Tamandua tetradactyla: one gene and its partner. The protein of the gene in region 1 purifies or fractionates together with the protein of each later gene. This does not show direct contact. Links are inferred from orthologs where the notes say so. Each region holds a gene or a part of one and is shown on either strand. Other genes may lie near its edges.

Region 1 (3,752 bases):
ACACATCAAGTGTGCTGAATATTCAAAGTCTTTCTTAACTCATTAAAAGAAGAAAAATTTTAAAAATTTAAAAATTTTTTAAAATTACATTTTTAAAAAGTATTCTAATTTTTAGACTTTTCATAAGTTCTAATATCTACCTTTCCATTATTTGAAATAGGCAAGGTTTATAGAACATTATTAATCTTAATAATAGTTTATGTATTTTAAATAACAAAATAAATCTATATATTTTCAGTAATTTAACTCTTTAAAATATCATTTTAAATTATTTCCTTAATGAAATTTATAAATTATAAATAAAACCAATATCAAGTAACATTTACCAGAACTTCATATCCTTTTATAGAAGCATTTATTACATTTATCTATGAAATAAAATAATCATTTCATACAAAATACATTTCATTTCTTGCAAAAGAAAAGTATCCCAAAACTCATGTTTTGTTATAAAAAAAAAATCCCCTACAAACCATAAAAATAATAAAACCTATAATTTTTCAAAAATAAAAGATTTGTACTTGTGTAGCAATTCTGCTCTTTGTCACCCTAAAGGCTCTCATACCATTTTATTCAATCCTTGTAGCAAACCATCAGGGTGTGCTGGGAAAATGTTACCCTTATTCCTATGATGAGGCCCAGAGAGAGATTGCACAAGGTATTGCAGGGAAAAAAAAATGAAAAAACTGGATATGGTGCAAGGCCTGTTCAAGGACCAGGAAAGCTAAACAAAACAAACAACAAAACCCACAAACCAGCTACTATATTGCCATCGTTTTGTGAAAGAAATTGCATTTTAAATGGGGTTTTAAAATGGTATTTTAATATTTCTAAATGTAGGGAGGTTATAATCTCAGAATAAAGGATTCACTTAAGGAAGGACTGTTGGCCACTGAGCACCGACAGGGACTAGAGGCCAGGGTTTGGATCTTGCTTGCAGCCTGCAGCTGCACAGCGAACTCTAATACTTCAAGGTTCTTATTTTCTCACTTGGCCACAGACCAGCGAGGACTCCGTCACAGTCTTATGTAAAAGAACCAGGGTGCTCGACCGTGCTTCCTCCTTTCAAGGTAGCACCTGCTGCATGGTTTCGAGCGAGAGCTTCACTGCACCTCATTTTGAACCAAAGGGTCATTAAGTTCTCCCAGAATAATGACTATGGCCGCCACATTTTCCCAACCAAGCTGGAAAAAAACATGGCTTGTCAAGTAAAAGCACTTTTGGGGACAATGGACAGAATGTTTGAAATGGAAACTGTCCAAGAAAACTCTTGATCTATGGTTACTGTAAGATGATGACTTACCATGGAATTGAGGGACATTTTGTACAAAAGCTCCATATCATTGAGGAAGCTGGTGTATCGTAAAATTGGCAACTATGGGATTCTAGATCGATTGATCTAGAATTTACAGTCATTGTTACAATCAACAGCAGTGTTCCCTCATTTGAATGGGATTCTATGCGTATCAGAAATAACATCAAAATAAAAGTAATTGCACACCTCTCCCAGTTATATCCCAGAACAAAAAGACAAAAGTCTTTCTAAGATGACCACTATCCCACAAGCAGGGGCACATTTTCACTATTTTATGATGATCGCGTACACTAAGTGAAACTCCTTTATATTTTTTACATATTCTAGTCTAACATCACTACCCAAAGTGACTTCTTAATTATAAATTTACTTAAGATAAAAAAATGAAAATACTCTGTGCTGAAGGCATGGAGAAAATGAACTCTTTGGTGATACAAAATGTTTTAGGGAAATTTGGTGATAGTAATCAAAATTTTAAGGGCATACAACTTTTCATCCAGAAATTTCATTTCAGGAATTTAGCTTACTTGGGTATTGAAAGTGTGTAGCATATTTATCACGGTATTATTTGTGACAGTTAAGCGAAAAAAAAATTAGATTTCTATTATCAAAGTGCCTTCCAAAGCTATGGTACCAATTTGAATCTCCACCCTCCTTAAAAATGCCCACCAATATAAAATTGGTTAAATAGGCCATAATGCATTTACAGCAGACTATTAATCGTGAGTTCAAAAAGGAATATAGTTTTTTTTTACAAAGATAAAAACGCCCATGATACAGCATTAAGTAAAGCAAACCAACAAAGCAAACTAGCAGAACAGTCTGTATAAGATGATACCATCCATGAAGAGAAGGTTTATGTGTATTGGTATGTACTATATCTGTGTCAGTGTGTGTGTGTGTAAATATATATATGCCAAACTCATGATAATATCTGTTTGGGAAGAGTGGGTTAGGGTGGAGGTATGGGGAAACGAGAGGTTTTTACTTCATATAATTCTCAACTCTTTAATTTTTTTTTACCTGGTGAATATGTATTATGTTTCACTAAAAAGAAAAAAAAGAAAAAAGAAAAGAAGCAAACAAAATTCTTACAAAATATTACATCGCTTTTCCTCTTACATTTTGAGTAACAAATGCAGATATGTACATTTCTATTTTCTTTTTTAAAAAAAGGCTTAAGAGGTTTTTGGTGTATAGGACATTTGAGATTCAAGCTTTTCTTCTCCAAGTATCAGCAGAAAATACCACTTTAAGGCAATAGTTGAGAGAACAGAAATCAAAATAGAGCAAACAGCCTGGCACTGTAGAAGCTAAGGACTCTGTTCCTGTAACTTATTTGGATTTTTCCAGGCATGTCCTGGTGGCCCGTAGCTTAATATTTATAGAAGCTGATTTTTCTGCTTTGATGTTCTCTGGGCACCTTGAATAAGCATCCCTCACCTTTCCTGCGGGAGAGGGAAAGGCACAGTGCCCCGGGCACCCCCCCACTCACTCGCCTGTGGTTAACCGGCAGGGACTCAGTCATGAGTGAGAGAGCGTTACAGGCCAAAGATCTTGTAACTCCTCACTCGGGTAACAGAACTTTCTATTCTTCCACTTAGCACTGGTTGACATATTAAAATGGTTTCTATAGTGCCCTGATGTTTAACTTACTTTTTGATTTTGTTCATTATTCCACCTTCGTTGTGCTTGATATCATGGACCATCTTTTGAAGTTGCCTGTAAGAAACAAAATTAAACATGAAATATTAGTAATTATTATACAGTTACGTTATATAACTAGGATGATTTTTTTAAACACTTCTTGAATATAAAATAGAGTGTATTATATTTGATTACGTTGACATCTGTTACTTCAGATGGAAAGAGAAAGCATGGCTGACTGTATAAGGAATGTGGTCCCTGGGCTGTGTCCCATCTGTTGAGCTGTCTGGGCCAGCCTCAGGCTGTGAAGGCAGGAATTCTACCTCACAGATCATCTGTGCTCAGGAGACACGTGAGGCAGAGGTGTCAGTCAGTAGAAGGAGATTACTCTGATTTTAAGGCAGCCATTTAAATTTAGTGGGGAACTAAATGTTAAAGACATTTTTTCAATTGAAAGCTACTTTAGTTAAGTGGCTAGGGTCATCCCATAGAATAACCTAATAAACAACATAAGGGGTAAAAATAAGAAAGACTCAGGAGAGAGAGAAGGAGATGGAGAGGGAGAGAAGGTGGGAAAGGGGGTCAGGGAGGAGGGAGATAGGAGAGGGGAGGAAGGAGAGGAATTTTGGATTTTTCCAGGCATGTCCTGGTGGCCCTTAGCTTAATATTTATAGAAGCTGATTTTTCTGCTTTGATGTTCTCTGGGCACCTTGGATAAATATCCCTCACCTTTCCTGCGGGAGAGGGAAAGGTACAGTGCCCCGCACTGGTCCATAACTTAAGGACAGAA
Region 2 (3,752 bases), on another chromosome or scaffold:
TAAAAGGGGAACTGAAAAGGGATTATTTGGAGTTATAAAGAGAACCAGTGGATGTAAGAATAAAAATGTAACCAAATGAACTAGGAGATGGAAGGGAGAAGGATAGATGGAAAGGAGTGTAAGGATGGCAATTTTATCATGCTTCACAGCTGGGAACAGAACCCAAACCAGCAATAGGTTACATACCAGACAAGCATCTAAAACAAAGGGAGTACAGGAACAAAGCAAAAGGGTATGAAATGCCACCCAACCATCTCAAAGAACGAATCACTGAAGCGTGCGATGGCACAGATGCATTGCCAGTGCCTCATGCCATGAGAGCAAAGCCACTCTGAAAGTCGAGATGCTGTGTAATTCCATTTATATGAAATTCTGGAAAAGTCAAAACTATAAAGACAGAAAACAGATGAGTGGGTGCCAGAGGCAGGGTTGGGGGAGGGGACGGATAGTGCTTGATGGGGTAATGGACTGTTAATATCTTAACTGAGGTTGGGGTTACATGATACTACGTATTTACCAAAAATCACAGAGCTGTATACCTCAAAGGAATGATTTTTCCTGTATGTAAATTATATCTCAATAAGTGCAATTTATCTGAATTTTTAAAAAGGTATAAGGATGGTCTAAGATATATCCAATAAATACTAATGAGAAATTCAGGGCCCATCATATCAAAATTCATTTGAAAGTTTGCATATAAGACAAAAAATACGAAAGGTCTAAAAAGAGTTACTGCATATAATGTTCAAAAGTCTAAACTGTCATAACTCTGTACGTATCAAATAACACAGCAAAAGTTAACACTGAGCATGCATCCAGGGCATGCAAGAAAATACTGCTGAACACTTAAGTATGAGCAGGAGCCTGTTGATCAAACTTGTTGGCTCATGATACCTGGCACTATTAAGAATGTGGTAGGAATGTAAAACGTCAAAAGCTCTGTGACCTTTCTGGATAGCAACTTGTCAATATACGTCAAATTGAAACTCACATCCTTGGATTTGGTAAAGCCAACCTGTCTGAGTTTATCCCGCAGAGAGATTGCTTAAAAGCCAAGTACTGGAATGAATTATGTAACTGGGATCACTCATGTCCTCAGGTTGACCCACATAGGTGTGGGAGTGGACCCAGTGCAGGTAAGAGCTCACCAAAATGTTACTGCAGCTAAGGTGTGCTCCAATTGAATGAGGTTGGGTCTTAAGCTGGACTGCTGGAGTCCTTTATTAGCAGGAGAAATTCAGACATAGTGAGACAATGCCACCGGGATGAGCTGGAAGCTGGAAGAGAAAGGAGAGGACACTGCCACGTGATGGGGAGGCCCAGGACCATTCGCCAGCACCAGGCTACCAAGTCTGGGAGGAGAAAGCAGCCTTCTAGCCAACGCCTTGGACTTCTGGCCTCTGAAAGCCTGAGCCAGTAAACGCCTATTGTTTAAGCCTTGCAAACCAAGACAGACAGGTATAAAATATCTTAGGGCAGCATTATTTGTAAACAACAAGAGCCTCTATCGACAGGTACTGGCTAAATAAACGATGGTACACATTTGCGGGGAACAGACGGCCAGAAAAGGGGTGATGCGGTTAGGTGTGAGCTGGCGTGGACAGCTCTGCAAGAGAAATGATGATGCTACAAAATTCAGCGCCCATCGACATGTGTAGTATGACCTTTGCATGATACATAAAAAGCAAGGGATACCTCTGAAAGTTTCTCCAGAAGGGATAAGCTAGCACGGGGTAACCACGGTTTCCTTTGGTGGAGAAACCCTCAGCACTGCCCTTAAAAGGCTTACCCTCTTCACCGGGCTGGAGAAAAGGAAAGACTGTCTTAGAGCAAGTCAATTTCTAACCGAAGTTGACTAAGGAGAAGGTTGTGGGTTCAGACCCCGCGCATGGCTGTCCAGGTAAGCTGGGACGACTGCGGGCCATGCCACAGCAAGCGGGCCCCAAGCGGCAGGACCGGCTCCAAGCTCACCTGCAGATTCCACGTCTGCTTCACGTATTCCCGGATGAGGTTCTCCTTCAGGTCCTCAAAGGGCCCGGTCTTGGGCTGCACCCCGGCCGGCCGGTTGCAAGGCTTCTTGAGGAGGCAGATGAGGCCGTCGCACTCCTGGGAGTGGTAGAGGCAGAGCTCGGCGGGGCTGGCGTGCGTCCTGCCGCCCGCGATGGCGTAGCTGCCGTTCAGCTCGCGCTCGATGGTGTAGTGGTGAGCCTTCCTGCTGAACGCCACCGACAGCGCAAACCCGCCCAGGTAGTTGCGGCTCTGGCGCAGCAGGTACAGCCCGTCGCTCATGCCCCCCTGCACCAGGTAATCCTCGGCCTCCTCCCGCGTGATGTTGCCGAAAAAGAAGGGCAGTTGGCCCGCGGCGTCGGACGCGCTGCTGGCCATGACCGCCACCTCCCGGCCCGCAGCTCCGGAGTGAGCGCGCACAGGGGCGTCCACCTGGGGAAAACAGAGGCGAGAAAAGCGTTGGTCAGCGAGGACACCATCTGCCGCCTTTAAAACCGGAGGCAAATCCTCCCAGTTCAGAACAGAATCTCTTTCCTCTTTCAACTCGGTGGCACAGCCCCAGCACGCTAACTTCATTATTTTAGTTTCCAAATAACCCGCCACCCCCACCCCCTGAACATTTAACCTAAAAAGAAAGCAGTTCACAAAAGTCACCAAATCAATTATTTTTTTTTTTTGGTGGGGGTAGACAATTCTTAAGAAAGAGACACGCTGAAAAGAGAAGTATTATTGCAAAACAGGGTTGACCAGCAGCTGCCCTGATGGTGGGCAGACGGCTGTACAGCCCAAGCGTGAATTTAAACCAGTTACTTCTCTTGAGATTTAGGACAGGCAGCAAAGCGAAGCAGCCAGACCCTGTGCTGGGCATCTGCCACTTCCCATCCGAATCGACATTAAAGAAAAAGTGTAGCTTCCACAACTGACGATGGTGCTGCTATGGAAAAAATGTTCACAAAGGCACATTTAAACTCCACAAGGGATGTCTTCTTCAGAAGAGAAAAGGGGAGGCTCTTGTATTTTTCATAGGGAAAGTGTTTTCTCTCCATTGTGAATATGTAAAACAGGACACATATTGTTAGTCCAAAAAGTAGCCAGAGAAGTGTGTATTTTAACCAAAAGGGGTTGTTATCAATAGATAATTATCTAGATAACTCCACCAGTTCCTAGAGAAACCTCATGTTTTCATGCTACACACACATAAGATGACGCAAAAACAGCCTTTCAATGTGAGTTAATTACACGTGGTTGTAAAACATAAGAACACCTGCCTCATAGAAGTATTAGAATTTTCTCTAGGCAATATCATCAAATAATGCCTCTGGGTGAGCCCCAAATAAAATAGAGGATTTAATTATACTTGACAGTACAAGGAAATGATTTTCTTGCTGAGCTTCTCATTAAACCATCAACGACTAATTTCTCTTTGGCCAACAAGTTTCTAAAAATTCACCTTTCAGCAAGATTTGTTTTCAAAGAAGAATCCATATTTGTTCTAAAATATAAGAATGCTATTGACAAAAAAAGTATATATATATACTTTTTTGTCAATATATGTATGTATATATATATATATATATATATATATATATATATATATAGAGAGAGAGAGAGAGAGAGAGAGAGAGAGAGAGAGAGAGAGAGAGAGAGAGAGAGATGTCCTTGGAAAAATAGTGAATTGGTGTATCTTTTGGAAGGAAAGGTTACCCCTTTTTTTTCCTCTCAAGCAAATCTGTCCATGAGGCTTT

The links.
Region 2: the proteins of BLNK (region 1) and SYK purify together in Homo sapiens (affinity purification with western blotting; 3 studies listed by BioGRID and IntAct, with this or other methods). This does not show direct contact. The link is inferred for Tamandua tetradactyla from reciprocal best matches to the Homo sapiens genes BLNK and SYK.

The regions. Positions count from the first base shown.
Region 1 is NC_135339.1:57,439,969-57,443,720, forward strand, and holds the start of BLNK (B-cell linker protein), read right to left. Parts: upstream 2,247-3,752; 5' UTR 1,480-2,246; coding exon 1,304-1,479; intron 1-1,303. UniProt on the Homo sapiens protein: Functions as a central linker protein, downstream of the B-cell receptor (BCR), bridging the SYK kinase to a multitude of signaling pathways and regulating biological outcomes of B-cell function and development.
Region 2 is NC_135328.1:8,769,025-8,772,776, forward strand, and holds the start of SYK (tyrosine-protein kinase SYK), read right to left. Parts: upstream 2,493-3,752; 5' UTR 2,386-2,492; coding exon 1,972-2,385; intron 1-1,971. UniProt on the Homo sapiens protein: Non-receptor tyrosine kinase which mediates signal transduction downstream of a variety of transmembrane receptors including classical immunoreceptors like the B-cell receptor (BCR).